2 linked regions of the Caenorhabditis elegans genome follow. The protein of the gene in region 1 purifies or fractionates together with the protein of each later gene. This does not show direct contact. Each region holds a gene or a part of one and is shown on either strand. Other genes may lie near its edges.

Region 1 (15,655 bases):
GTCCCCACGAGGACGAGGCGTTTGATCGACGTCTCCAAAAGCAAGTTGTCCCAGAATCAGACTGCTCGGGGAAATCGAACTATTTGAAGCTTGTCCTTTATTCTTGAGCAGACTTCTGAAATTTTAATTTTCAACTCAAAGGTGAGACGCTTCTGTGGGACGTTTTTGGGCCAAATTACAGAAAACAGTCTCAATGCACCATTTTTGGAATTTTTTAGTGATTTTGTTTTCAATTTTGCAAAAAAAATAGGAAATGATATGGATTTTTTTTTGAATTCCCACGCCTTTGTTCTATAATATGAAATATCATTTTTCACATTTTTAGAAAATTTTCGAAGGAATTCATAAAATAATTCGGCCAATTCCTTTTTTGCAAATTTTTTTAATCATTAAAAAATTTTGCAAACTTATATAAATTTTTACAGTTGTATTCGGTATATTGAGACTGTCTTCTGCTAATCAGGGCAAAAAAGCTCGAATATAGGTTCTTTAAAATTAATAACCTTTGCTTTTCCGAGCTTCTGGGTTCGGGAGTTTTGAAAATAAAATTATCAGAGTTGACAATGGGCATCGAGGTTTTTGTCGAATCGATTTTCTTTTCACCATCCTGAGAATTTGCAAAGAAATCATCGAATATCGAACAATCAGGATTCGTGGTTCCCATCGAATTTCCAGGAAATGACTGTTGACTATTGAATATGGAGAACTGTGTGCCCAACTCAGAGAATACTTCGCCAAATTGACTATTCTGAGAGTGAGACACATCCGGTCTGAGTTCACGACGAGATGATGATCTTGGAGTGACATTTGGATCATATGTATCTTGTGATTTCAGAATCGAATCATCTGGGAAGTTGAAAATGTTAAAAAATTCTGGATTCACTTCATTTGAAGATCGAATTGTTTCATGAGGAGTATCTCTGGCACTCTGAATCAATGATTGATTCATTGATCGATTTTTTGGAGTACTGTGGCGCGAAGATTGTTGAGACCTGAAATGTTGAAATTGTGAACTATTTTGAAGGATTTTTCCAATTCTTTTTCCAAAATTTTGGCCTAAGGAAAAATTTTCCGGGAAATCGAAAAATCGGACCTTGTTGTTTTTGGATTATATATATCTAAAAAAAATTTTTAAAAATCTTCTGAAAACGACGTTCAAACGCGCTCCACGGCGAAATGAAGATGCTCCGCCCCCTCACTATGGGTCTCGTTAGGTATTTGCCGGAAACCAGCAATTTCAAGCGTTTTCAACAAATTTTTGGAATATTTTTCGCCAGTTTCAAATGGTTTTTATATCGAATTTTTTTTTTGAAAAACATATGTGAATTCAGATTTCCAAATATCATTTCGATATGAAAATCATTAAAAACAACGGAAAAAATATTTTTAAAAAATGCCGAAAAATGCCTGAAACGCTTAAATTCACGGTTTTACCGCCAAATACCTAATGAGACCCAGCGGTTGGAGGCGGAACGTTTTCACATCGATTTTAAAAGGGTTTTTTTTCAATTTTTTAATCCAAAAAAGACTCACTTTCTGTAAGCCTAATATTTTACAAAAAAAAATAATTTTTCAGCAATGTGTGTTTTTTTTGTTTTCAATTCCAAAAACTTCAAAATAAATCGAAATTCGACGTTTTTTTTTTGGTTTTTTTACAAATTGCATGTTTTGGTCCCAGCACTGATCTCCAAAATAGAAAATTGAATTGAAAAATGGAACCTTCTATCACTGATCGGCGTCTTGAATGGATCACTTTGCAAATATCGTTCACTGACTCTGGAGATCACATCTTTCTCCGACGATGGAAATTTTGGTTCGAGGAATGAGCTGAAAAATCAATAAAATGCAAAAAAAATTGGGCTTCCAAAGCCCACCTTATGGAAAGCTGTTTTGGGGTCTCGAGAACTTGTGATTCTTTCACATTTGGTGTCTTCTTGAAAACTTCAGTTCTGACTGATTTTGATGCTGAAGGACCTGGTGATGAAGTAGACGTTGATCTAGGCCTTTTGACACCACCAGCTTCACCCATTTGGATTGGAGTTGGAATATGTATTGCAGTTCGAGTCGAGAATGAGTGTCGGGAGCTGAAAATGAGCACTTTTTAACGAAATCAGCCCGAAATGACAGAAAACCGTCTAATAGAATTTTAAATTTTTTTTTTGAAGAAAAAAACGAATGAATAACCTAGTTTTCGACATTTTTCTAAACTTATTCGTTTTTTTTCTACATTTTCTCTTGGCCTCTCGATTTGAGACCTAATTTTTAACATTTTTTTACGGATTCAAAAAAGTTCGGCCCTTTCGATTATTTTTTGCGGAATTGAAAAATTATCTAAATAATTTCTATATTTTTTCGCCGGGGTGTTGTCGAAAAAATTTTGAATTTTTTTAATTTTTCGGGGTTTAGAATTAATCGAAAAATCAACAATTTTAAAATCATTTTAAAATTTTGTTTATTTTAATGAGTAAAACCCCACAAAAACATATCGTTTTTCTATCTAAAAAGAATAATAATGACCGAAATCGATTTTTTTTTGTTGTAATTTATAAAAACGTTCTTATAGAGAAATTGGAAAAGTTTTAACAAATGGAAAAAAAAATTAATTTTCGATTTTTCTTTGAAATAAAAAATATCGTTAAAACATTTTTTCTAAACATTTTTTTTAAATGCTTTTCCTTATTAAACAAAATTTGAAAAAAAGTAAATTTTTTGAATTTTTTTTCTTCTTTTTTTTCCCTGAAAATCAATTTTTAACTTTAAAAACTGGAAAATTGACGAAAAAAAATAGAATCTCAAATTCTTTGCCAACACTTTTCTATAATTTTGGGAAGAACAATAAACTGAAAATTTCCAGATACTTTATGGATTGCTGCTTCTCTTCTTCACTGGCATATTTCTGTACAGACGGAAGTGTTGGTCGAGATACAGGTGCACTTATTTGATCTTCCTCTCCTTCAGTACCTTCATCCTCTTCTTGGAATGGATCAGGAGACATTGATGATTCCATACTACTACCTGTCACTTTTTTCTTTTTCTTTTTTGGTAACAAGGCATCGAGCACAGAAAGTTGATCCACTGAAGCCATCGATCGCGATGAAAGAACACTATTTGATCTACAATAAAATTAATTTAAAAAAAAACAATTTTCACAGTAATAACCTGGCTGTGATGGTACTGCGACTTTTCGATGCCGGAGTAGAAGCTTCTGATCTCTCCTTTTCAATTTCCTCGCTCACATTTCGCATTGATGATTCGCAAAATGATGTTTTCTTTCTTTTCACAAATGATTCTACTGCGGCCATGAAACCATCTTCATCAGCACTGCAAAATATAGTTTTAATTTTTTTTTTGTTGTAGGAGCCAATCAAAGGTTTTTCGCGTTATTATCTTTAAAATAGCCCAAAAGGAGCAAATTTCGTACCGAACTTTTCCAAAAAGTACAAACAACACTTGATTCTAGCTTAAATCTCCAATTTCGACAACTTTTCCGTTTCGAAAAGGAAATTAGAAATTGGCAAAATGGGGTATTTTAGCTAAAATTAAGTGTTTTTTTTAAATTTTGAAAAGACTTGTCAGGGGTTCAGAATTTTCGATTGTGAAATTGTACGCATCTTATGAATTTTGAAAAGTAAGTAAATTCTAAGAAAATATCTAGAGAAAACGGGTAATTTTATTTTTTAAAGGCACAGTTTTAAGTGTTGCCGTTTTATTAAATAAATAACTTCCGGCAAATTTCCGGAACTGAAAAATTCCGGCAAATCGGCAAACCGGCAACTTGCCGAATTTTTTGACAAAAAATTTGCCAAACGGCAATTGCTTTTTTCCGATATTTTTGGTCATTTTCCTCCATTAAATACTTCAAAAATCATACAGAACAACATCCATGTCTTCCACAAGCTGTTTTTCATTGTCATTCGAAACTTCTGCCTTAATTTCTTTGAGTAGAGTTCCAGCTTTTAATGCTTTATAAATTCGACAAGCTCTTCCAATTACAGGTGGCGGAATTCCTTCCTCTTTAGCAACCGACAGTGCGAACGAGCAATCAACCAAGCCAGGAGTCATACGGAAAAGGTATTTGATCTTGCCACCAGCTTCACGGAGAACTGTGAACGTCTAGGAATGAATATATATATTTCAGAGAATTATTTTAACAAATTTTTTCAAAGAAAAAAAAAACAGAAAACTCACCAAGAAAGTTGCAATGTTAGTTTCAAGAGGAATATAATTTGGAAGCGCGTGGAAATGTGACGATAGGAATATATGAGGGCATCGATCAGCTCCCCTATTCATCCAATAAGTCATGACAGATGCCAAAAGAGAAAGTCCAACTTCTGTCATTGTTCCTTTTCCAAACTCATCAATGATAACCAATGAGTTGCCAGTAGCTTTCCTCAATGCCAACGCAACTTGTTCTACGTCTTTTGCAAATGTAGACATCCCATCGAGAACTGAATCCACAGTAAACATTCTGGTAACAATTCGATCGACTATTCCTATTTTCGCATGTCTAGCTGGCACGAAACTTCCAATATGAGACAGAAAAACCATGATTCCAATTGATTTCATGTAGACACTCTTTCCACATGCATTTGGTCCTGTTATAATGCTTGCTTTAATTCCATCTCGACCACTACTAACTTGATTCGGTACGAAACTCTTCTTGACAACTAGAACACTAATCGGATGATATAGCTCGACGGCTTCAATCACGGGCTCATCTACAAGAGCAGGACAATTCCATCCGTTTTGTGCAGCAATTAGGCCGAACGAAATGAGCACATCGATTCTAGAAGCAATAGAGAGAAGTTTAATGATACTTCGCTTTTTCTTCATCACTCTTGTCTTCAAAGTGAGAATGATTGCAGTCTGGCTGTCGATTAATCTCATTAGAATATCTCCAAATTCGTCGTCTAATCTTGATGTTGTGGCATTTCTCACTCGTAAGTCTTCGTGTGTGGAGTATAGTAGAGTCATGCTGTGAAATTACAATATGATGAGAACCAGGGATGGGTGGCAATTGCTGTTCGGCAAATCGGCAAATTGCCGGAAATTTCCAATTCCGGCAATTTTCTGGTTTGCCGATTTGCCGGAAATTTTCATTTTCGGCAAATTTCCGATTTTTCATTTTTTTTTGCCAATTTCACAACCGTTTTTAATGGTTTTCATGTATAAATTATGTTTGAAAAGTGCATATGAAGATGAGTTTTGCCTATGAATTTATTATCATCAGTTTGGACAATTCCACCATTTTTCCGTTGTTTCCATTATTTTTTACGTCAAAACTAACCTACTTCAAAGTCCAATTTTACATGCACTTTTTTAGCACTATTTTTGCATAAAAACTAGAAAAACAATTGAAAAAAGGTCAAAAATGCTTGAAAATCGGATTTTCCGTTGATTCCTAACGAGACCCAACGTTTAGGGGTGGAGCGTGATTTCATTTTGATTTGAATTGCTTACTCAGGCTGTGATTCCACACCGTAATCTCTTGGAACTGAAAGAACAAATCCGACGAGTGGTATGTAGACACACGCCACATTAGAGTACGGTGGTAGACCAAGTCGAGCTTCTTCCTGTTTAGCAATTGCAGTGAGCACCATTGGCATGTTCTCATATGTGTCGCGTACTGAAGAAATAATAAAATAAGGGCTTGAAAACAATTAAAAAAAATACTTTCATCCAATTCTTCATCGATTCCATTCATCACTGTCACTCTTCCTTGAATCTTCGACTCTGCGAAGTTGATCTGAAATTTTTGAAGTTTGATTTAAATCTTATTCCTGGTCTCGGCACGGCAAAGTTTTGATAAATGTGGTTCGACTACTGTAATCGCAAACTTTTTTTGCTCTGGAATTTTCATCGATTTTTCACAGTTTTCCGATTAAAAAACTTCAACGAAAGAGTTAAAACACGAGATTGTTAACGAAAATGCCAGCGACAACAAAGTTTGAAAGTACAGTACTCTTCTCTTGTCGTGTCGAGACCAGGTACCGTATTTTAGAAAACACTTGGCAACATACAATGGAGCCCGCGATGACTGCAATTTCAGAGACTTCTCGGAGAAGATCTGATTCTACAGGAAACTCCTTCGAAATCTGAATAAAAATTATTTGAAACCTCGCTTTTTTATAAAAATTAATTATTTGAATTTACCGGTGTCTGCCTGATAATATTCAAGATTTCAACAAGCGCGTTGACTGTCGATACGAAGCACTCCCAATGAATGAGCTGAGCTGTTCCACTTTGAAATTTTTGGAATACACTCTGAAATCGGCCAAAAATGAATTAAATTAAACTTGATTGCTATTTAATACGTTCAGAGCCTTCACTCTTCCAAGAATTGATGATAACTTAGCGGTCACTTCGGCGTTCCAGTCCTAAATTTGAGAAAAAAATGTATATATTTGACGAAAAGATAATTTATTAAAGGTGGAGTACCGAAATACAAAAAATATTTTTTTAAATGACTTTAAATTTTCTCATAATTCCGAATATCTAAGTGAAAAAATTCAAAAAAAATTTCCCTGATTTTATATTTCAGCTTGAAATCGCGATTTTCATTTGCGTCCCCATGAGACTTTTCAAACGCCGAACTTTCGTGCCTGAGACGCCCCACATGTCGATTTACGAGATTTTTAAACTTTATCGGATACTGATTTCCGTTTTTCAACGAGTTTCCTTCATTTTCGTCGGTTTTTGCCAGGTTTTTTTTGAAAATGCGTTTTTTAGGGTTAATTAAACATTATATCAACAAAAATCTATCAAAATTTCTTTTCCCGACAGAAAATCGAAACTTTTGTAGTTTTTCGATAATATAATGTTTAATTTACCTTAAAAACACATTTTCTTTTAAAAAAAAACCTGGCAAAACCGACGAAAATGAAAGAAACTCGTTGAAAAATGAAAATCAGCATCTGATAAAGATTGAAAATCTCGTAAATATACACAAATCTCGTAAATCGACACATGCCGTCTCTGGCGCGAAAATTCTGCGTTTGAAAATCGCGATTTCAAGCTGAAATATAAAATCAGGGATCTCTTTTTTAAAAATATTTTTTCACTTAGATATTCGGAATCAGGGGAAAATTTGGAGTGATTTAAAAATATTTCCCATAGATTTCGGTACTCCACTTTAAAGATTATCACCTGTTTGAAGTAGTGCACACATTTTTGTCTTGACACAAGATCATCTCTATCCGTAGTCGGATTTCTAAACCATTTTCGAAGGCACTTTTTTCCAACGGTTGATCTACATTTATCCATCAACTGATAAAGTGATCTACCTTGTCCGAAAGTCTTCTTATTCTCGGTTTCCTTTGGCAGAATATCCAGCGCCTGAATTGTGTTGAAATCGATTTCTACCAGGTTTCCTCTGAAAAAGAAGAAAATGATTTTTTTTGTTTCAAAGGGAAATAAAAAACAAAAAATAGTAAAATTACAATGTAAATGTCTTGATAGATTTGATAGGTGAAGTGACTGACAAAGGATCGTCTGTCACGCCCATCCTAGTTTCATCGAGGAAAAGAAGAAGTGCTCCAAATGATCTTATCTGAAGATGGAAAATAATTTTTTTTTTGGCTCAGAGATCTGCTAACCATATTAACAGCTTCAATATCAAATCTCATCTTGATGATAATGTACTTGTCCTCTTCCGTCATCGAACTGTCATGGGACCCGGCCATCGCCTTTAATCTTTCTATAGCTCGCGACATTCCTGCAAATTTATTTTTAAAATCAAAAATGTTTGGAGATTATTAAGCAACTGAAAAAGTTGTTCGGGAGCTTATTAAGCTTCGCCGGTAATCCTTCGTCATCATCATCTTCGTCTTCTTCTTTTTCTTCTTTTTCCGCCGTTGTCTCGTCAGTAGAATAAGCTAGCGAAGAATCCCATGTCGGAACCGTATCCTCTGATGTTCCTTCTTCTGTAGTCCCGTCTTCATAGATTTTTTCCTGTGGATCATCTGAAAAAAATTTTAAAAAAATCTTTTTTTTTCAATTTTTATAATGATTTTCATACACCGCGTGGTCAAAAATTTGATAAATTCGAGATCCTGGCTTCTATTTGCGATTATTAGCGTCGGCTTCACATCGTCTATCACTGAAAAAAATGAGTTGAATTTCAAGCTTTTTGGATTTAAAACTGACATCTCTTCAAGAATCTAAATTCAAGATCTTCTGAAATATCGTTCATGATCTTCAACAACTGGCTTGATTGCTCGTAGTAGGCAGCTCCGAGCATTCCTTGAGCAAAAGAAAGACTGAGCACCGTTTCATCCCGAAATTGCTCCGGATCCATCGGCATGTCTGCAATTTTAATAAATTATTTAAAGAAAATAGGAATAATCTAGAGTTAACCTTTGAAATAAGCGCCATCCTGAGCTCCCTTGTGAAAATTATCATCACGGGGTAAGGCGACGGCGGTCAAGCTTGTACCGCGACCTCGGCCTCTGCCTCGACCGCGGAATCCATTCCCGCGTTTTGAATTGTAATATCTCCATCGAGTGGACATTTGAACCAAAATTTCATAAAATTATTTCTGATTTAAGAAAAGGTTGCTGAAAAACTAAAAATTGAAATATTTTCGGTTTTTTTCGGTTCTTGTAAAGTAATTTTAAACGTTTTAAACATTTTAAACTTCAAAAAGTTGATTGAACACCATAAAAAGTAACTATAAACAAGACTTGAAAATAGAAATTCCGAAAATTTTACTAAAAACTGAAATTTTCGTGTTTTCTGCTACGAAACTGAATTTTTAGGTACGTTTTATTAAATTAAATCAAGTTTTTAGCATTTAAACTAACCAAAAACTCGTAAAATTTATTTTCAAACGAGGAAAATTGTTTTGGAAATGCAATTTAAATTAAATTCTCGACACCGCCCGTTTTTCTTACCGTAACTACAAGGCGCATACCGATTTCGGTTCATCGGGTCCCGCAACGATCACTACAGTAATTCAATTATTTTCTTTAATTTAATTTAATTTAATTAAATAAATAAATATTTGTTATTTCTCGAATTAAAGCTGGATTTTCAGTCGAAATTGTTGTTTTTTTCACGAAATAAAAAGTGGATAATTCTATTTTTATCAAAATTTCTTTCGAAACTCCCCAAATTAAGGTGATTTCCAGCGAAAATAATTAACTTTTTCGAATTTTTCTAATATTTAATTGTTCCCTCTTCCATCAGTCACCTCTTTTGCTAGTAATCCCGGTCAAAGCCAATATTTGTTCATTTTTCTTTTCTCCCTCTCTTTTCTCCGCTCACAGGGCCGAGAAACTGGACAACGTAGACAATTTGCAGTGCATTCGGCCGCGCTCATTCGCTTATTCTGCGTGTAATTTCTCTAAAATAACGGTTTGTCGTGTCTTAAAGCTACATAAAAATCCAATTTTTTCCATTTTTCAGGGTGAAAATGAGCCGGATACTGCTCCTGCTTGCTGTATTAATTGGTGCCACGTCACAAAAAGAAGTCACCATCAAAAACGAAAAATGCAGGACGTGTAATTTTCTAGTGAGCACATTTGATGAGGTTTGTGCTCTATTTTTATATTTAAATGAATTTAAAAATATAAAATAAAAAGAAATTCCGAATTTCAGGGTCTCAAAAAAACGGCTCGCCATCATTTTGCCGGTGGAGACACAGCTTGGGAAGAGAAAAATCTGGGAAAGTACAAAACTAGGTTGGTTTCTCGAAATTTGGCGCTGGAAATATTTTAAATTAAAAAAAAAATCAAAATTTTCAGTGAAACCCGGCTAATCGAAGTTCTCGAAGGTGTTTGCAAGAAATCGTCGCTCCCAAATATGGACAATTTTATGGGAATCGCAGAAATCGAGTTTAAAGTATTCAAAAAATTAAATTTTTAATAAAAACCCTGTAATTTCTATATTTTCAGTGCTCTACTCAACTTGAAAAGCATGAAGAAACAATTGAAGAGTTCTACTACAACCAGCAACACAATAATATGTCAAATTGGCTCTGTGTTGAGCAGTTAAAATGTAAAAATTTCTTAAATTTGACTATAAAAACGTATGAAAATCGAAAGAAAACGCATTTTCCATTGAAAATTCGCGAATTTCGGCCTCAAAAATTGAATTTTTCGCTATTTTCTAAATGAAAATCGCGAATAAAACGAACATTTTAAAAACTAGATTCTTCACAATATACCCCGAAAAATCAATAAAAAATTGAATTTCCAGTCTGAAATTTTTCGAGAGCCTAATTTTCAATAAAAACCGAATTTTCAAGCAAAAAAATCGCAAAATTCAACAAATTTCCGCCAGAAAACTTAAAAATGTTATTATTCCCGTTGAAAATCGCCAAAGATTTGCAAATTTCATACTAAAAATTGAGTTTTTTTTCTATTTTTACTGTGAAAAGCGCGAAAATTTTGTAGTTTTATTAGAAAAAATACGATTTTTCACAATTTTCTGATTAAAAATAGCTAGAAATTAATATTTTTCGATTTACTAGAAATTTGTGATTGAAAATTGAAATTCTTTAAGCGAAAATTAATGCAAAAAAATTAATTTTCGGATTTAATTTTAAAAAACCGTAATTATATTTTTTCGCGGCGAGACCCATCTAAACAATAACGTGCGCCTTTAAGCAATATTTTATAATATTTTCCAAACTTTTAATAGCAAAAAATAAATAAAAAAATTTCAGTGTGCTGCCCTGATGGACACTTTGGTAAAAACTGCGAACAATGTCCTGGATTAAGTGAAAAAGCTGATGTCTGTTTTGGAAAAGGATCCTGTCATGTTAGTCAATTTTCTTTAAAATCTTGAAAAATTGAGAATTAATTTTTCCCTTTAAAAAAACCAACAAAAATCCAATTTTCAGGGAGATGGAAGCCGCGAAGGCAGTGGAAAGTGTAAATGTGAGACTGGATATACTGGAAATCTATGCCGATACTGTGATATCGAGTATTTCGAAGAATCTCGGACAGTGCAGGGTGTCGTTTGTAAAAGTTTGTTTTTTTTTTTTTAATTTTTGAAATCGAAAAAATAAATAATTGAAAAAATTCAGAATGCCACGAGGGCTGCCTTGGAGTTTGCTCATCGGAGAGCTCAAAAGGATGCTCAAAATGTAAAAATGGGTGGAAATTGACAGAAGAAGGGTGCGCAGGTATGAGAAAAGTTGGAAAAAAAAATTGAATTTTCATTTAATATTCTTGAAAAAAAGAAAAGTTTTTGAAAAATCTCCATTTTTCGTGTTTTTCTATCTAATCAAAAAATTGTGAAAAAAAACTGGGACTGAGAGCACAAATTTCGCGATTTTTCCCCATTTCTGCTTGGAAAAAGTGAAAAAATTTCGTGATTTTTCCGATAAAAAGCTCTGAATTTTGAAGTTTTCACCTGGAAAATTCACAAAAGCATAGATTTTTCGTGTCATTTTCAAAAAAAAGTAAAATCTGGTTTATAGAGAAAAATTAACATTTTCCAGACCAGATTTTTGCTGAAAAACATTTTATTTGAAAAATTAAAATTTGCAGAATTGCCGAAACACTATGCAAAAATCTATAAAATTCAATGCGAATTTCAATTTTTTTTTTTTAGAATTCTAAATTTTTGAACCGCCATCTTAACTTTTAATTAATCAAAAATCCTTATTTCAGACGTCAACGAATGCCAAAACGAGTCCGCATGCACAAAAGAGCACGAAATTTGTGTGAACACTGTCGGATCGTTCAAGTGTGAATGTAAGGAAGGATATAAGAAGGATGATGAGCAAAATTGTCAATTTGACGTCGAAGGTTCGTTTTTTTTTTCTTCAATTTGAATGTGGTATTAACAAAGCATGATCTGGTTTACTTCTGGATAATCTAATTTAAATTTCAGTTTTCAAAAAAAAATCGAAAAATTGCATTAAAAACAAAAATTTCCAAAAAAAAGGGACGAGCTTTTCTGAAAAATCATGGTTCAAAAAATATATTGCGAGAACATAAAAAATGCGTATTACACAACATATTTGACGCGCAAAATATCTTGTAACGAAAACTACTGTAATTGACTACTGTAGCGTTTGTGTCGATTTACGGGCTCGATTTTCGGGAAAAAAGTGACAGCAATATTCAAATTGTAATTTTTGTGATTTTTTCAAAAATGTTCAATATTTTTGATCGATTAATAAATGATTTCCGTAAATCGACATAAGCGCTACAGTAGTCATCTTACTGTAGTTTTCTGCTGCGAGATATTTTGCGCGTCAAATATGCTGTGCAATACGCATTCTCAGAGTTTTGTGCACCAGGAATATAACGTCCTCTTCACAAAACCCCACACACAGAACGGTTTTTACTACGTGGCCGTGATATAAGAAAACTCGGCCACCCTCATAAAAAGAGTTAGGGCCATTCAAAACCGTTGTGGGGAAGCTTCAGCTGGAGCTCCAAAAATATCTAACGTGAAAAATTCAAGATAAATCGCTGGCCAAGTTTTTACTTTTTCTAGGCCACGTAGGAAAAAGCGTAGGAAAAAGCGCTCAAGTTTCCTAGATCGGATGGAGATTTCTACGATTCTGTAGAGAGATTGAAAGCGTTATATAAGTAAACCTAACAAAGTCTGAAGCTTCTGCATGTTCCCTAGGGGCTCCTTCACCCAGTTCCAATTTCCTCTATTCACCATGGTTCAGCATCTCCTGATCGCCCGTTCATGCCAATCGACCAGCAACTCAAATTGATTGCCTTCTCCTCTCTCATCATCATCATCACTTTCGTCGTTTGGCACGGATCCCCAGTGCTCTATGTTTTAACGGGAATCACCATCGTCGCCCTGATTCTTGTCGATCTTTATGTTAATCCTGACACAATTCCCGACGAGGCCAAGCGATTTTTAGGATATTGAACAATTTTTAAAATTTTTTTTATTGGTTTTATACGGTTATTAAACAGTTAACAGCGCTTGCTCAGAAATTCATCAATAAAATGTAGAATATTTTCATTTTTTCAAAATTTGCAGCCTTGAAAGCAACGGAACAGCAAGCTCATGAAGATGAGGATGGAGACGATGACGATGAGAAGGATGAATTATAGCCTATATTAATTTTAACATTTTTTATTTATTGTTGCTATATATATGCATTTTTTGATTGCTTTCAATCCCGATCTGTCTGTGATTTTTCTCTTGTTTTCTATGTGCAATATATATATATATATATATCACATTTTTCAAATAACATGGTAGATTTATGCCGAACTTTAAAAAAAATGAGAAGAACTGCTAGAAGAAAGAGATCGTGAAATGTGTGAACGAACTGAGAGATCATACGGCGAAAAACACGCCAATCGATAGAAAACGTGGCGATGTACGTGGCGCGCGGTGGAGCAGCAATAGATCAAATGTAGTCGGGTGGCGGGATTTCGTTGCGAAAGTCAGCTGAAAGTTTCCGGATTCGTGACATCTTTGGTACGAAGACACATCCCATTGGCGAGAAGAAACAGTTTCGTGTGTTGCTCAATGACATTTGTCCCGGACGTGGCCTGGAAATTGTTTTGGGGTTTTTAGGTTAAAGAGTGGAAGAGAAAAAGCTAGGCCAGCATTTTATTTTGTAGATTTACGAGCAATTTCGCAATATTATAAATAGTTTTTTTTTTCGTCAAAATGTGCTGCTTTTTGTATTTTTTCGCAAAAGAAATTGTAGACTTTTCCTCGAGGAGTACACGAACTGCGTAAATCGACACATTTTCATTCTTCAAAGTTCCGCAACATTGCAAGTGACCCCTCACACTCAAGAATGTGGGCGAGAATTGGAAATGTGAGCTTTCCAAAAACGAGTTCAAACTTTTCAAAAAAAAAAGGTTCAGACACATTTCCGGTGGACGTGTTCAATGGAAAAATGTATTTTAAAGAAACACTTCATTTCTTGGAAAATCTAAAATTTTCAAACTTGGGGAAAACTAAACTCTCAGATTGGCATTTCCTGGGGGCTATGTTTGTTGGATTCCGGCTTATGCTTAGTTTTAGGCCCGGGCTCAGGCTTATGCTCAGGCTCAGGCTTAGGATGAGTCTTAGGCTTAGGCTTAGGCTTAGGCTTAAGCTTAGGCTCCGACTTTGGCCTGAAATTTATTTAATTTTTTCCAACTCACATTGCTTCTGTAGTGTGTGCACTAAGTAAAACGAGAGCCATCAGGGCGACGAACACAAACCACCGAGTGGACATTTTACCTGAAAAGTTGAATTTAATTTTTTTGAACTGCACTAAAAAATCCAAAGAGCAAAGATGCACGAAACAGTAGATGAATGAATGAAATCAGAAAGTGTGAATGAAGCATGAAATAGGCGGAGCTTCATGAGAGAGATGACGTGGCACCAGAGAAAGAGAGAGAGAAATTCGAAACAAAACGTGGAAATTGTCTAAACTTGTAAAAAGTTGTTGAAAGTCTCGGGTTGCATCGTTTTGTGGGTGGTGGGCACAATCATTCAGATGAGCTCACAAATGTCAACGGTTGAATAGATCAACCTTTCTTTATGACGTGGCTTTTTGATTGGTGGTCGAGAAAATAGAAAACTCGGCCACCTACAAAAGGGTTTCTGTAGAATCACTCACTCACATAGTTTATATTCAGTTGGAAATCTAAAAAAAACTGAAAAAAATCTTAAAAATTAATTATGTTATTTTTTAATCCTAAAATTATCAATTTAATGTGAAAATTGAATAAATTCTTTCAAAAAATAGATAAATATCATTTCCAAAAATTATCAAAATCTAGTTTTTTTCTAGGCCACTTCTCCCTCCAATCATATCGAAAAACAATATTTTTCATAAATACTATTTTCCGAAAAAAATCAAAATACCGAAACCTTCTGGTTCTACCCATTCATATGACGTGACCGCGAAAAAATTCGGTGGCCGAGTCTTCTCTATTTCTAGGCCACGTCGCAAAAACCGACATATGCTTTGCACGTGACACGAATGTGAAAAGTCGCTGCAATTTCTCTCGTGACTTGGTCAGCAATAGACAGGTACATGCTGATTTTAGAAAAATGCCAAATCTGTTATACATATCATACATCACTTTCAATTTGGTCAGAGCACATTCTGTTTTCTGCGAGTTCATCATTAGCTCGAAATAGAAAAACGCGTGATGAACAAGCCTAGGGCTTTATACAGTCAAAATGGTGTCAACTACAAAACTACCCAACACATTGTTCTCTACATTTTTGTAGTTGTGAATTTTTTGATATCATCGAAACTGCCCATGCAATACAATTAGAAGAAATTGAAGTTTGATACTATAAATTTTTGTCTCCCTAGGGCCCCCTGATCGAATCCAATCTGACGAGAGCTCTCAACGAATACTGTTTCAGGGGCGACTGATTAATCTTCCGGTGGTGCGTAATGTAATCAAAACTACTGAATTAGACACCAAATGGACCGGAAATTTGAATAGAATAGTGAGAACCGGGAAGAAAAAGAAGAAGATGGGGGCCTACTGAAAAGAAACAAAAACAACAATGATTTAACTTTTGTGCTTTTTTTTGTGAGGAAAAAAGTACATTGGTTCAAACTAGATACACTTTTGACTGGAAAGCTCACTCAACTGGACCACGAAAAGTCAACATATCAACATTTTTTAGACCTCCGGAACCCTTTTCAGCACGTAGTTGTAGTAAATTGAGGTGCCAGAGGGTTAGTACAGAAGCGGAGACCTGG
Region 2 (15,802 bases), on another chromosome or scaffold:
ATACCAGAATATCGCCAGGATTCTCGTGTTTGTGAATATTTATTACAGTATCCACCGCCGATTGACAGTAATCTGGCACTGACCTGAAAAAAAAAAATTATTTGAAATTTACGTTCAAAATTTGCTCAAATTTGTAATTCTGAGCTTAGTAGCTTCAAAATGACCCCCAACATGCCTAGGTTCCGACGATTTTGAAAACTTTGGGTCTCGCCACGCGGGGTACTGTAGCACCAGTTTCAGCTGTGTCGGTTGTCAAATTGCACGGACACCAGGCATGTTGGGGGTCATTTTGAAGCTGATGACGTAGAGAATATGATTTATTGAATTAAAAAAATTTTTTTGAAAAATTAAAAATTATAGAAATTTTTTTTTATTCCAAAAATTTTATTTCCCCGAAATTTTACATGGAAAACTGGATATTCGTGTTCTCTAGGTCTCCAGCTTTAAAATGACCCCCAACATGCCTAGGTTCCGTGCAATGTGAAAATTTCGGGTCTCGCCACGCGGGATACTGTAGCACCAGTTTCAGCTGTGTCGAAACATCAAAAACTCAAAATCGCCGGAAATAGGGCATGATGGGAGTCAAATTGAAGCTGACGACGTGGAGAATATGAATTTCTACATAGTTTTCAATAAAATTTTGAATTGAAAATTTCTTTTTTTGAAAAAATTAAAAATTTTTTTGCAAATTTTTTTTTTTTTTGCAATTTTTTCCACATCCACTAACGTTTTTGTATGATGTACTGCAACTGGATGTGTTCTTCCCTCCACTGAAATAATTCCAGCAGTATCTTTATCCGAATTTCCCGTCTCATTCATCTCGAAAAAATCCTTAAAAAGCTCGGCGTCCAGCGTCGCCGAGGACACAATAATCCTCAGATCATTGCGAATTTGTATGATTTTTCGAAGTAACCCGAGCAAAATATCCGTGTTACATGACCGTTCGTGTGCCTCGTCAATCATGATAATGCTGGAAATTTTTTTTTTGAAAAATAATTTTTTTTTAATCGAAAAATTGAGAGATTTTTTGAAAATTTGAAGATTTTCACGTAAAAATTCGGATTTCCCATTTAATTTCACACCTAATAAGCATTTTTCCCGGCCTCAATTCCAAATTTTGAATTTCGAGGGGTACGGTAGCGCCAAAAGTACGCAAACACCGAATTTTACGACATTTTGCACAAATTGGCTGAAAAAGCTGTTCCAGGGGTGGAAATTTACGGGGAATTTGAATTTTGGCATGACAATGTATAGAAAACAATTTGAAATTTGAAAATACTGAATTTTTTGTTAAAAACTTTTTTTCAGAATTTTCCAGAAGTTTTCAAAGATTTTCAGACTGAAATTCGAATTGCTCGTCAAATTTCACCCCTAAAAACCTTTTTGGGGCTTCTAACCCTATTTTTGAATTTCGAGGGGTACGGTAGCGCCAAAAGTACGCAAACACCGAGTGTCTTGCGTACTCGGCACCCAACCTTACGACAGTTAGTCTAAATTGGCTGAAAACCGGATTCCGAGGGTAAAAAATGATGGAGAAGTCGAATTTCGTATTGAAAATCTGTAAAAATCACAAGTTTTTCGGGAAAAACGAAAATTTGGGCATAGCTTCCGCATGTCCGAGTGACAAATGTGCTCTATTGCCAAATTGTTGGCAGAAATACGGTATTTATTCACATTTTTAGCCCAATTTATGACTGAAAATGTGAATAAATACAGTATTTATGCCAAAAATCTGAATAGAAGCACAAAAGTCACAGGGGAAATATCGATTTTTTGGGGAGCAAGGGACATTTTTCCGTAATTTTTCGGGGAAAATGTGAGTTTTTATCAAATTTTTCTATGTTTTAGCAGTTTTCTGCAAGAAAATCCTGTTGAAAAATTGTTTCTAGGCGGAGGATTTTCGGATTTCTTCAAAATTTTCCGGGTAAAAATTCAAAAAATCACCTATATTTCGATAATAGTGGATCTGCAAGGATCTCCCTCAACAATAGCCCATCAGTCATAAATTTGACTTTAGTATCCTTATCCGATACATCATCAAATCTTACAGTATACCCAACGTCGTGCCCCAAAATACAGTCCTTCTCCTCGGCGACTCGGGTGGCTAACTGCAAAATTTTTCAATTTTTCACCCAATAAATTTCAGGTATTTGAATTTCCCGCCAAGCCATACCGTAACCACGGCCACCCTTCGTGGCTGAGTAATGACGATTTGGCGGCCGTCGGCCGCCCAACCGGCTTCTAGAAGGAATTGGGGTACTTGAGTGCTCTTTCCGCATCCTGTTTCGCCGACAATGATTATTGTACGATATCGTTCGCACATGTAGAGAATGTGACCGCGATTCTGAATGAAAAATTAATTTTCATTTGAAAAAAAATTTTCGAAAAAAACAATTTTTTTTTTTTTTGGAAATTTTTTTTTGAATTTTTCGCAGATGTTCAATAATTTTACACTTTTTATCTACTTTACCACTAAAAAATAGGGTTCCAGCTCAAAATTTAAATTTCGAGGGGTACGGTAGCCCCAAAAGTACGCAAACACCGAGGCTTGCGTACTTGGCACCGAACCTTACGACAGTTTCTTCAAATTGGCTGAAAACCGGGCTCCGGGGGTAAAAAGTGATGGAGAAGTCGAATTTCATACTGAAAATTAGCGAAAATCATCGGAAAAATGCTAAAAATTTGAAGTTTTCCGAAAAAATGAAAATTTGGGCATAGCTTCCGCATCTCCAAGTGACAAATGTGCTCTATTGTCAAATTGTTGGCAGAAATACGGTATTTATTCACATTTTCAGCCCAATTTAAGACTGCAAATGTGAATAAATAAAGTTTTTATGCCATCAATACGAGTAGAAGCACATGAGTCACTGAAATTTCAATTTGGGAAAAAATTTAACTTATTAAAAATTTAGCTTCAGTTAAAACTACAAAAAATTATTGAAAATTTTTTATCTTGAATTAAGAAAAATTAAATAGTAAAGAAAAAAAATTAATTCAAAAAATCGAAAAAGAAATTTTTATTTTTTGGAAGAAAATGTTTTTTTTTTTTTGAAAATTACAGTTTGTAGGTAGGTAGAGTGTATAAATTTGAGCTTTTTTGATATTATTATTGTAACATTTTGAAAAAAAAAAACAATTTCAAATTTAAACAAATCGATATTTTTTTTTCGAATTTTTCAAAAAAATATTTTCCAAAATTTTTTTTTTTTAGTTTTCAGGATTTTTCTCAATTTTTTAGCTCAAACTGTGCAAAATTTAATTTTCTCACAACTGCACAATATCTGAATTTTTTCGATTTTTATAGAAACAGTTTTTTCTCGAAAAATCTTTTTATTTTTTTTTTAAATTGTTAAATTTTTAGCTGGCACTATGTGAAAATTTTTGGTCTAAAAAGAAAACTGGGACAAATGTTTGAAAATTTCAAAAAAAATTTCCGAAAAAAATTTTTTCATAAAAAAAAAAACTTTCAAAATTTTTTTCACAAAAAATTCAAATTTCGCGGCGCCAAAGAATTTCCCGTAGAACATTTTCTTCACCTTAAAAATAGGTAATCTAATTCTCTGCTGTTGAATATTCAATGAAGCATATGGATTATTGTGCACTTTTAGTTGCTCTTCAATCGGCGGAGCTGCTCCCGCGTTTTCGGTAGATCGTTCCTCGAAAATCAGTGGTCCGGTACGTGGAGCGTCTGCAGAGTCATCCGGTCGAGCAAAACCACGACGGGCTCCGGCTCCTTTTCTGGGCTCCTGACGGTGACCGTGTCCCGGGTGATAGGACATTTATGGCTGAAAATTCAAGTTTTTTCAGTGAAAATTTTAGATTTTTCACTGAAAAAAGTGAGAAAAACTATTTAATTCATGGAAAACTAAAGAAATTCGGAAAAAAAACGCCAAAATTGAACAAAAACCCTTTCATTTTCAATGATGGCCTAGAAATCCAAATCCACGTGGCCTAGAATTCCAAAACTCGGGCACCAATAAATTCAGCTCACTGAGAGCTTTCAAATAACCCCCAACATGCCCAGGTTCCGGTGATTTTGAAATTTTTGGGTCTCGCCACGCGGGGTACTGTAGCACCGGTTTCAGCTGTGTCGAAACGCGAAAAAAACTCAAAATCGCCGGAAATAGGGCATGATGGGGTTCAAATTGAAGCTGAGAATAGCGGGAATTCGAATTTTTCAGAATTTTCAAGAAATTTATAGAAAATTTGAGTTTTTCTGGACTTTGGACTAACTTTTTCAAAAAATTTCAAAAAAGTGGTTTTTTTTTTGAAAAAAATAGTTTTAACAACCAATTCGCACAAAATACTATTTAAAACTATTTGGTAAAACTAAATTTCCGAGCAAATTTCGAAAAAAAAGGTCAAAATCTCCGATTTCTGAGTAATGGCCTAGAAACCCCAGTTCTCGTGGCCTAAAATTCCAAAACTCTGCCACCATTGAACTCAGCTCACTGAGAGCTTTCAAATGGCCCCCAACATGCCCAGGTTCCGGTGATTTTGAAATTTTTGGGTCTCGCCACGCGGGGTACTGTAGCACCGGTTTCAGCTGTGTCGAAACGACGAAAAACCTCAAAATCGCCGGAACCCGGGCATGATGGGGGTCAAATTGGAGCTGAGAATGGCGGGAAATCGAATTTCTACATGGTTTTCAATAAATTTTTGAATTGAAAAAAAAATTGTAGAAAAAGTAATAAAATTCGAATTTTACAAATTTTTCAGCTACCATATAATAAAAGGACAAGAAATTCGCAGAGGAATGACTATTATTTTCAAAAGATTTTACGAGATTGGTATAAACAAATTTTAAAAAAATAATTCTAAAAAAATGGGGAAAATTTCAAAGAAAAATAATTTAAAATTCCAATTTCAAAAATTTCAAAAAACGAACGCCGAATTCGAATTCTCCGAGTCATCAGCTTTCAAATGACCCCCAACATGCCCGGGTTTCGTCGATTTTGAAAATTTCGGGTCTCGCCACGCGGGTTACTGTAGCACCGATTTCAGCTGTGTCAAAACGGCGAAAATTCAAAATCGCCGGAACCCAGGCATGTAGTGGGTCATTTGAAAGCTGATGACGTGGAGAATACGAATCTGACATTCATTTTTGGAAAATTTCAAAATTTCACAATTTCAACAATAAAAAATGCGAGAAAATTATCGATTTTTTCACTTTTTCTTTGCCGATTGTTCCTGAATCTTCTTCTGCTCGTCGGCGATCGCATCATAAAAGCAATTATCGGGAAAAACGTGCGGATCGAAGATATTTTTCGCGAAATTCGTGCCTTTTTCGTCAATTTCGAACGCATCGATGAATGTTGTGTAGCTCATCGGATTATTGTACTGCTGATTGCCTTGAATTTGTTGATTTAGATCGGTTCCGAGGGCTTTTTGACGAAAAGCATGCTCAAATCGTGTTGCAATCGCTGGATTCACTTCGATCTCCGGTGGTGGCGGGATTTTGAGCTGCTGCTCTCTGGTGCTCTCGGCGGCTCCTTGGTGAGTTGGAGCTGAAAATTATAATTTTTGTTTGAGAAATTTCAGTTAGAAATTCAATTTTACACTATAAACCTTGAAAATTCTCCGAAAAATTCTGAAAATTACAAGTTTTCCGGGAAAAAAAAAATGAAAATTTGGGCATAGCTTCCGCATGTCCGAGTGACAAATGTGCTCTATTGTCAAATTGTTGGCAGAAATACGGTATTTATTCATATTTTCAACCAATTTTAGCTATTTTTAAGCGGAAAATATGAATAAATACAGTTTTTATGCCACCAATCTGAGTTGAAGCACACAAGCCACAGGGGAAATATCGATTTTTTTGGGACTTCCCAGCTTAAATTGCACAAAGATTGAGCTTCTAGCAATTTTTATTTGAGCAGCTTGAACATAGAAAATTGAATTTTCATGATTATCGATGAAAAATTCTCAAAGTTTCTGGCGTTTTCTATTTTTTTTTTTTTGGAAAGTTTAGCATTCAAATGTGTGTTTAACTTTTAAAAGTAACTAAAATTCAACAAAAATTGCGTTGGTGTAGTAGAAAAAGTTAGGCCACCATTTTTTTTTCGACTAAAAATTGGCTAAACGGGTTAAGATTCATGCTTTTTTTTAAAATTTCCACTGAATTGGTATAAAAGATGGACAATTCAGCCTTTTGCTCAATATTTTCACTTTTGAACAGAAAAATTCCGAAATTCCAATTGGTGGCCTAGATTTTCCAGAAGTTCGGAAAAAATCGCCAAAAAATGAAAATTTGGGCATAGCTTCCGCATGTCCGAGTGACAAATGTGCTCTATTGACAAATTGTTGGCAGAAATACGGTATTTATTCACATTTTCAGCAAATTTAGTGCTGAAAATGTGATTAAATACAGTTTTTATGCCAGAAATCTGAGAAACGCACAAGTCACAGGGGAAATATCGATTTTTAGAAGATTTTATTTTTTTTTTAACTGAAAATTTCGCGATTTTCAAGTCAAAAAGGTTTTTATTACCATTATTTGAAATAAAACTTTCAAAAAATCGATGAAAAACGGCTTGAAACCATCATTTTCAGATTGGTGGCCTAGAAATTCCAAAAGTTAGGCCACCAATCTATTTTGTGCGAAAAAACCATTTCTAGGGGTAAAAATGAGTGGGAAACTCAATTCTCAACTGAAAAACTGAGAAAAATCACTAGAAATTCGAGATTTTTCGCTTTTAAAATCATTTAGAGAGCTTTTATAGCTGAAAAATCGAAATTTTTTGATTTCCTGGAATTTTTGCTAAATTTTGTACGGTGGAAATTGAAAAAAAAATCCAATATTTGGTGTTTTTCTATAAGAATTCTGATTTAGTCGATTTTTAGCTCCCAAAACAGCTAGCTTGGTCTAGTTTTGTAATTTTCTAGGCCACCACTAGAAAAATCCCGTACTTTTATCGAAATTTTCCGCCGAAAACGGTGAATCCACAACTGAATCCCGTCCAGGCGTATCTGAAGGTGAAATTTCATCGATATTCATTCGTAATATCGCCTCATTTCCCTCTTTAATTGCTCGATCAATGAGCTCTTGCTCTTCGTCACTTTCAACGTCACGGCTCTGTCGTGGCGGTGGAGCCGGTTCTCTGATCTCTGAAATTGGCGTGGCTCCGGAGATTTTAGGCGGTTCGGAGGAATCTTCATCGTCGTCATCTCCGTCTCCGGAATATGAAACCAATGAAGTTGTGGAGGCGGCCTGGAAAATTTGAAATTTTTTGGCCGAGTTTTAGATTTCTAGGCCAGCTTAAGCCTAAGCCTAAGCTTGGCCCTAAGCCTGAGTTTAAGCCTAAGCCTGGGGCTCAGCCTAAGCCTAGGCCTAAGCTTGAGCCTAAGCCTAAGCCTAAAATCGCTGATTTTTGACGGAAAATTCGAATTTTTAATCGGTTTTTCACATTTTCCAATGCCAAATTCAATTTTTTTAGCGGAAATTCCGAGTTTTCGCGTCAAAATTTCGTGATTTAGCCGTTTTCCCGCGATTTTCACAAATCCTACATGTGGCATTCCAATAACTGGAGTTCTGAACGCTGCTGGCGATGGAGAATGATCATCAAGTCGTTTTGGAGCCGGTGGCTCGGCGAAATCCTTCGGCGAATCCTCTTCGTCTGAAAAAAGCCCATTTTTTGGGCGATTTTCCCCCAATAAAATCGATAATTTACCTCCATAAACGTCGGAAGCTCGTCGTTTTCTCTCTTTTTCGAATTCTTCTTTGAATTTCTGCGCTGTGCTTTGGCCTGGAACAATTTAGAAATTTAATTTTTATGATATTTCCGGCGAAAAACCTTCTGATGACCTTCTTCGCGGCGATTCATCATCACTTTCTCCTTCGTAATCCACTAAATTGTTCATTTTTTGACTGAAAAATGCAATAATGAGCTTGAAATCTGGGAAAAATTGATATTTTATACAAAAAATAAATATTTTTTTAATTCGAAACTTGTCCGAGAGGAGTACACGTCAGGTGGTCCGCAAACACCGTCACGTTAGAATGCACAGAATGCATTTAACTTGACGACGTTTCCACTTTGTTTTTCATCATTTTAATCAATTTTGAGCTATTTTTCAGCTATTTTATGAGGATTTCTTTGATTTTTTTCAAATTTTAAGTTAAAAATTCGAATTTCAGAATAATTCCGACCCAAATCGATGTTCGTTGTGCCCTGCTAAGCGTCTCCGTCGCGCTTCTCACATTTCTGACGCCATTCACAATGGATTTACGTGGTTATTCGCCTCAAGTAACCGGATTTTTCGCGTGTTTCTCGAGTTTTAAAGCTATTTTTTGCAGACAATCGTCGCTGGGACACTTATTGGTGGAACACTTGCCGCTGCAGTGACCTATGCGTTTTTGACAAGCAGAAATGGTGAAGAAGGTGCGGTTTTTGGCGGGAAAATCGATTTTTTTCGTGGAAAAAATCAATAAAACTTGAAATTTTCAGCGTCCAGCAGCAGACTGGTGCCCGGATTAGCGAATCAGGGCAATACATGCTATATGAATGCACTTTTGCAAGGATTGGCGAGCTGCCCGTCATTTGTCGGGTGGTTAAAGTCTCTGAAGCCTCAGGATATTGGAATTCAGGGTAAAAATTGGAAAAAATACCAAAAAATAGAGCGAAACATTGGAAAAATCATAATTTTCACACGAAAATTCGATTGAAAATGAAAAATTCCGGAAAAAATGCAAAAATTAACAGCTTTTCTTACAGAAAACTACTAAAACCCAGCAAAATTCGATGAAATCTCACATTTTTCCCCCGAAAACCGCTAAAAACTGTATTTTCCTCAGAAAAATCGATATTTCCCCTGTGACTTGTGTGCTTCTACTCAGATTGGTGACATGAAAACTATATTTATTCGCATTTTCAGTCTTAAATTGGGCTGAAAATGTGAATAAATACCGTATTTCTGCCAACAATCTGACAATAGAGCACATTTGTCACTCGGTGATGCGGAAGCTATGCCCAAATTTTCATTTTTTCGAAAAACTTGTAATTTTCAGCATTTTCCAGTGATTTTCACAGATTTTCAATACAAAATTCGAGTTCTCCATCACTTTTTACCCCCGTAACCTGGTTTTCAGCCAATTTGGACTAAATGTCGTAAAGTTCGGTGCCAAGTACGTAATGCACTCGGTGTTTGCGTACTTTTGGGGCTACCGTGCCCCTCGAAATTCAAAAATTGGGCTAGAGGCCCGGAAAAAGGTTTCCTAGAAGTAAAATTGCACGGGGAATTCGAATTTTAGTGTGAAAATTGCTTAAAAATCCATGAAAATTCTGAAAAAAAAACGTTTTAATCTAAAAAATTCAAAATTTCCAGCTAAAATGGGTTTCCGCAGTTTTCAGCCAAAATTTGTGATTTTTCCAGGCTTCACCATTTTGCACATTCCAAATTTTTACCTAAAAATTTCAATTTTTGTCCTAAAAATTCCAAATTTTAACCTAAAAATTCCAAATTTTAACCTAAAAATTCCAAATTTTAACCTAAATTTCCAAATTTTAACTTAAAATTCCAAATTTTTACCTAAAAATTCCCACTTTTTTCCAGGCGGCTTCGTAGATCACCTCTCCAATTTGCTTCATTTGCTCAATGAGCCAACAGGCTCCACCCTCACAGCTCAATCAATAGTCGAAAGTTTAAAGGCGCATGGTTGGAGTATTACTGTAGGCGTTGAACATGATCTCTACGAACTTTTCAATGTATTTGTAACAACTTGGGAGGATGAATTGAAGAGTTCCCGGCGTATTTTAATGAATCAATCGATTGAAAATTGTCATAGTAGTAGTAGTGAAGATGATGAAGATGTGGTGGTGGAATCGACGAGTTTAAGAGGATCCCCGTCAATTATCAGAAAATTGATGAGTTTTCAGAGGTTCGGACGTGGAAAATTAGCTAAAAATCGGGTTTTTTAACCTAAAAATTGCCGTGTTTGACCTAAAAATCGCATTTTTTTGCCTAAAAATTCTCTTTTTTGGCCTAAAAATCACCTTTTTTGGCCTAAAAAATCACATTTTTGACCTAAAAATCACCTTTTTTGGCCTAAAAATCACCTCTTTTGGCCTAAAAAATCACATTTTTGGCCTAAAAATTACCTTTTTTGGCCTAAAAAATCACATTTTTGGCCTAAAAATCACCTTTTTTGCCTCAAAATCACCTTTTTTGGCCTAAAAATTGTCTTTTTGGCCTAAAAATCACCTCTTTTGGCCTAAAAAAATCACATTTTTGGCCTAAAAATCACCTTTTTTGACTTAAAAATTGTCTTTTTTTGCCTAAAAATCACCTTTTTTGGCCTAAAAATCACCTTTTTTGCCTCAAAATCACCTTTTTTGGCCTAAAAATTGTCTTTTTGGCCTAAAAATCACCTCTTTTGGCCTAAAAAAATCACCTTTTTTGGCCTAAAAAATCACCTTTTTTGGCTTAAAAATTGTCTTTTTTTGCCTAAAAATCACCTTTTTTGGCCTAAAAATCGCATTTTTGGTCTAAAAATCATCTTTTTTTTTTGCCTAAAAATTCTCTTTTTTGGTCTAAAAATCACCTTTTTTGGCCTAAAAATTGTCTTTTTTGGCCTAAAAATCACCTCTTTTGGCCTAAAAAATCACATTTTTTGACGTAAAAATCACCAGAAATTTCTGATTTTCACCCAAATTTTCAAATTTTCAGATGCGCCTCAATGGCTCGAATTGACGCGAGCCTCCGCTCACCGTGTGTCGGCCTAACTGCCACAGAATACAGATGTTGCAACACAAATTGTGGATATAGGGTACAAATTTTGTGAATTTTAGTGCGAAATTTGCGAAAAAATCGAATTTTCAGATTGATTTTCGAAATCCCCACACAATTTTACACCCGGATCAAGTTTTTCCAGCTTTCTAGCTTTAAATTTGAGTTTCCCGGGGGTACTGTAGCGCCAAAAGTACGCAAACACCGAGCATCCCACGACAAATTGCACAGTTTTCGTATTTTTCACGTTAGAGCCTTAAAAATTGGGTCCCCGGGGTGAAAAGTGATGAGGAAAACGAATTTCTTACCGAAAACAAAGGAAACCCACGAATTTCTAATTTTTACTCAGTTTTTAATAATTTTCAATGCCATTTTCGAACTCCCCGCCATTTTTAACCACTGAAACTCTTTCTCCCAGCTTTCTAGCTTGAAATTTGAAATTTCCGGGGTACTGAGGCGCCAAAAGTACGCAAACACCGAGCATCCCACGACAAATTGCACAGTTTTCTGAAATTTTGAGAAAATATGAAAAATAGGGGTAAAATGGTGCTTTGAATTCGAATTTCGCAGTGAAAAATCGCAAAAGTTCCTAGTTTTTGAGTTTTCCTTGAATTTTCTCTGAAAATCCCCTAAAATAACCGAGAAATCGATATTTCCCCTGTGACTTGTGTGCTTATTCAGATTTTTGACATAAAAACTGTATTTATTCACATTTTCATCCTTAAATTGGCTTAAAATGTGAATAAATACCGTATTTCTGCCAACAATTTGACAATAGAGCACATTTGTCACTCGGACATGCGGAAGCTATGCCCAAATTTTCATTTTCGCCCGATTTTCGGCACATTTTCGATGGTTTCGGGCGATTTTTAGCGCTAAAATTTGGTTCTCCGCTTGCTTTCACCTTAGTTAGTTTGTTTTTAACGAAAAACGTTTTGGTGGCCGAACTTTTCGGATTTCTAGGCCACCAATTCTAAAATGTTGATTTTTGGCAGTATTCATAGTTTTTTCCGGAAAAAACTTTTAAAATTTAAAACAAAGTAGCACGTTTTTGAGCTCCAAAATTAGAGCATCAGGTGAAATATTCTCCAAAGTGAGCATTTTTGCTCAAATTTCCGAAAAAATATCTAAAAATTTTGATTTCTGCAGAATTTTTCTATAATTTCAAAACTTCTAACTTGATTATCTCTGATTTTCATTGTATAAGTCTGAAATTTTCGGAAAAAATTCCAAAAAATCGATATTTCCGTGGCTTATGTGTTTCTACTCGGATTGGTGGCATAAAAACTATTTATTCACTTTTTTTCATAAATAGGCTAAATTTGGCTGAAAATGTGAATAAATATCGTATTTCTGCAAACAATTTGACAATAGAGCACATTTGTCACTCGGTGATGCGGAAGCTATGCCCAAAACCAATTTGGACTAATTGTCGTCAAATTCAGTGCCGAGTCCGCAGACACTCGGTGTTTGCGTACTTTTGGCGCTACCATACCCCTCGAAATTCAAAAATGGGGTTAGAAGCCCGAAAAACGGTCCATGAGGGGTGAAATTAAATGGGGAATCCGAATTTTTGCATGAAAATTGCTAAAAAAAAACCTGCAAATTCCTGAAAAAAAGTTTTTATCCAAAATGTTTTTTCAACTTTCAAAATATTTTTTTCTCGTTTTTATTGCCAAAATTCAATTTTCCCGCAAATTTTCACCCCTTGAACTGTTTTTCAGCCAATTTGTGCAGTTTTTAGCAAAATTCCGTGTTTGCGTACTTTTGAGGCTACAGTACCCCTCGAATATCAAATTTTGAGCTAGAAGCCCGGAAAACGGGCTCGCCAGTGGTGAAATTGAACGGGGAATCCGAATTTCAGCATGAAAATTGCTGAAAAATCTCGGAAATTTTTAACTTTGCAGACAGTAAAATACGAATCCTTCACAGTTCTGACTCTGGCAATCCCAAATTCTCAAATGGGAACCTCCACAAACACAGAATCCCTGCTCCGCCGTTTCTTTTGCTCGGAGATCATTCGCGACGCGATTTGTGACAAATGTCGGGCTTCTGACCGGAAACAGCAGGGTTTTCTGAAAAAACACGGAATTGTGAAGCTCCCGCAGACCCTAATGATTCGAATCGAGCGAGTTGGAATGCTGCCAAATGGAAGTATGAAATTATCGGAACACGTGCATTTCGGCGAATGTCTATCGCTGCAGGACGTTTGTTTTCGGAAAAATCCAAAAATTAATCAGGTTTGTGCTGGAAAATGCTAGAAAATTGCGGAAAATTGCGGAAATTTTGGGCAAAAATTTGCGAAAAATGGCGAAAATTTTTATTTCAAATTTTTCAAGAAAATCAGTAAGAAATTCGAATTCCAGACGCAATCAGCTTTCAAATGACCCCCAACACGCCCAGGTTCCGTTGATTTTGAGTTTTGGAAGTTTTCGACACAGCTGAAATCCGTGCTACAGTACCCCGCGTGGCGGGACCCAAAATTTTCAAAATCCACGGAATATGGGCATGATGGGGGTCATTTGAAAGCTGGTGGCGTAGGGAATTTGAATTTGGCGTTGGCTGTTCGAAATTCTGAAAATTGACAATTTTTTGGCCCGATTAATTTTTTTTAAAGAATTTGTTCAATTTTCGATATTTCCGAAAATTAACTATTAATCTGAGTTCTCCACGGTATTAGCTTCCAAATGACCCCCAACACGCCCAGGTTCAGTTGATTTTGAATTTTGGAAGTATTGACACAGCTGAAACTGGTGCTACAGTAATCCGCGTGGCGGGACCCAAAAATTTCAAAATCGACGGAATACGGGCATGATGGGGGTCATTTGAAAGCTGGAGATGTGGAGACCTCGAATATAATGTGAGTTGGCTGAAATTTTTCAAAAATTGGGAATTTTTTATCGTTTTTCGAAAAATGTTTCAAAAAACTTAAACAAAAAATTTTTCTTTTTCGATTTTTCTGAAAATTAATGCAATATTTGAATTTTTCACATTATTAGCTTCAAAATAACACCCATCATGCCCATATCCCGTTAGTTTTGAAGTTTTCGGGTCTCGCCACGAAAATTCTTCGGGTTACTGTAGTTATTCGCCGCGGGACCCAAATTGCACGGAAACCAGGCATGTTGGGGGTCATTTGAAAGCTAATAACGTGGAGAACTCAGATTAATTGTTAGTTTTCGGAAATATCGAAAATTGAAAAAAAATTCTTTAAAAATATTATACATTCGGCGAAAAGTTTGTCAATTTTCAGAATTTCAAATAACCAGCATTTTTTCTGAGATCTCCAAGTCACCAGCTCTCTAATGACCCCCATCATGCCTAGGTTCCGCCAATTTTGAAAATTTTGGGTCCCACCACGCGGGTTACTGTAGCAACGATTTCAACTGTGTCGGTTGGTCAAGTTGCTCGGAACCTGGGCGTGTTGGGGGTCATTTGAAAGCTGAAAATGAGGAGAATATGAATTTATTACTGAATTTCCAAAAAAAAAAATTCAAAATAGAAATAAAAACTGTGAAATTTGGGTGAAAAATGCTGCAAATTTCCGCCAAAAATTGGATATTTCCCAAAAAATTCCCCAATTTTTCCAGAAATCCTACGAAGAATCATCTTTGCATTGGCAATTACCAGATGGAACATCCCGTGTTGTCGGTGGAGCTGAAGAAACAAGATCCAGAAGATCACCAATTCATCCATCTCAGGCGGCGATTTTTGGAGATTTAGCATCAAATTATGCACTTATTGAGTGAGAAAATCGGAAAATTGGCGAAAAATGATGGAATTCTGGAATTTGCTGGAAATTTCGCGAAAAAAAGCACAAAATCTGTACTTTTTTCACTTTTTTTCGAAAAAAATTTCACTGAAATTGAATTTTTTCGGCAAAATTTCATCCGGAAAAATGCTAAAAATTTGGGTTTTCTTCAAATTCTCTCGAAAAAAGAGTAAAAATCCCAATTTTCAACATATTTTTCCCCCAAATTCAGAGAAAAAACCCCCGATTTTCAGCGGTGGCTCATTCGTTGCCGAGCGACGTGAAGCTCAAAAGTACGCATATCAACTGAGAGCAGTCAGTGAGCACAGAGGAGGTCCATATTCTGGACATTTTGTCACTTATCGAAGAGCAAGTGCTCCAAATCATCATACATGGTATTATACCAGTGATGCACAGGTAATAAATCTCTGCAAAATCTGGGATTTTCTGCTGAAAAATCGATTTTTTTATCTTAAAATTGCCTAAAAATTTAATTTTTTGCAAAAATTGAAAAATTTTCATTTAAATTCGAATTCTCCACGTCTCCAGCTTTCAAATGACCCCCAACATGGCTATATTCCGTCGAATTTGAAAATTTTGGGTCTCGCCACGCGGGTTACTGTAGCACCGGTTTCAGCTGTGTCAAAACTTCCAAAACTCAAAATCGACGGAGCCCGGGCATGTTGGGGGTCATTCAAAAGCTGAGAGCGTGGAGAATTCGAATTTCAGCTTTAATTTAAGATATTGAAAAGTTTGAAAAAAAAATTATGGGAAAATTTTGAGAATCTTGGATAAAAATTCGGAAAAAATAGGGAAATTCGATTTTTTTCACTGATATCTATTAAAAAGACAGTAAATCATTAAATTTTGCACAAAACCACTGACGAGTGGTAGTTTTTCCTGAAAAATTGAAAAATTTTGGGGAAAAGTCTCCTAAAAACTGCTGAATTATCAATTTTCCGGAAAAATGCCGGAGAAAACCCTGAAAAGTTCAAGCAACTTTTTGACTTTAAATTCTATAATTTAAAAAAAAGTATCCCAAAACTTTGAATTTTCCCTGAATAAATTTCCACAAAAAATCGATATTTCCCCTGTGACTTGTGCGTTTCTCAGATTTCCGGCATAAAAACTGTATTTATTCACAGTTTCAGTCTTAAATTGGCCGAAAATGTGAATAAATACCGTATTTCTGCCAACAATTTGACAATAGAACACATTTGTCACTCGGAGATGCGGAAGCTATGCCCAAATTTTCAATTTTTCCCGAAAAACTTTAGATTTTCAAGAGTTTTTTCGGCATTTTTAGCTAATTTTTGACTGCTGTTT

Evidence for each region.
Region 2: the proteins of msh-5 (region 1) and Y67D2.2 fractionate together in Caenorhabditis elegans (co-fractionation; one large-scale study listed by BioGRID). This does not show direct contact.

What each region holds. Positions count from the first base shown.
Region 1 is NC_003282.8:13,148,087-13,163,741, reverse strand, and holds the start of msh-5 (MutS protein homolog 5), read right to left. Parts: upstream 8,510-15,655; coding exon 8,356-8,509; intron 8,305-8,355; coding exon 8,146-8,304; intron 8,099-8,145; coding exon 8,018-8,098; intron 7,962-8,017; coding exon 7,764-7,961; intron 7,715-7,763; coding exon 7,596-7,714; intron 7,550-7,595; coding exon 7,440-7,549; intron 7,373-7,439; coding exon 7,147-7,372; intron 6,378-7,146; coding exon 6,315-6,377; intron 6,265-6,314; coding exon 6,154-6,264; intron 6,096-6,153; coding exon 6,021-6,095; intron 5,747-6,020; coding exon 5,674-5,746; intron 5,627-5,673; coding exon 5,461-5,626; intron 4,976-5,460; coding exon 4,189-4,975; intron 4,114-4,188; coding exon 3,872-4,113; intron 3,322-3,871; coding exon 3,160-3,321; intron 3,114-3,159; coding exon 2,859-3,113; intron 2,085-2,858; coding exon 1,875-2,084; intron 1,828-1,874; coding exon 1,720-1,827; intron 993-1,719; coding exon 504-992; intron 116-503; coding exon 1-115. Other genes in the region: Protein disulfide isomerase crld-1, read left to right, coding at 9,413-9,529, 9,598-9,680, 9,744-9,840, 9,894-9,996, 10,667-10,761, 10,844-10,970, 11,030-11,128, 11,619-11,756 and 1 more; nlp-79 (Neuropeptide-Like Protein), read right to left, coding at 13,337-13,481, 14,088-14,161. UniProt on the Caenorhabditis elegans protein: Crucial component in meiotic recombination, functioning at some point after the initiation step of recombination. Plays a role in promoting the crossover outcome of meiotic recombination events.
Region 2 is NC_003281.10:1,550,663-1,566,464, forward strand, and holds the start of Y67D2.2 (Ubiquitin carboxyl-terminal hydrolase), read left to right. Parts: upstream 1-8,137; 5' UTR 8,138-8,219; coding exon 8,220-8,246; intron 8,247-8,296; coding exon 8,297-8,381; intron 8,382-8,447; coding exon 8,448-8,588; intron 8,589-9,552; coding exon 9,553-9,877; intron 9,878-10,665; coding exon 10,666-10,765; intron 10,766-12,632; coding exon 12,633-12,965; intron 12,966-14,315; coding exon 14,316-14,470; intron 14,471-14,730; coding exon 14,731-14,893; intron 14,894-15,802. Other genes in the region: ddx-35 (putative ATP-dependent RNA helicase DHX35 homolog), read right to left, coding at 1-83, 728-970, 1,945-2,108, 2,174-2,344, 3,537-3,779; eelo-1 (Early ELOngation arrest), read right to left, coding at 5,167-5,507, 6,910-7,210, 7,507-7,616, 7,671-7,745, 7,794-7,860.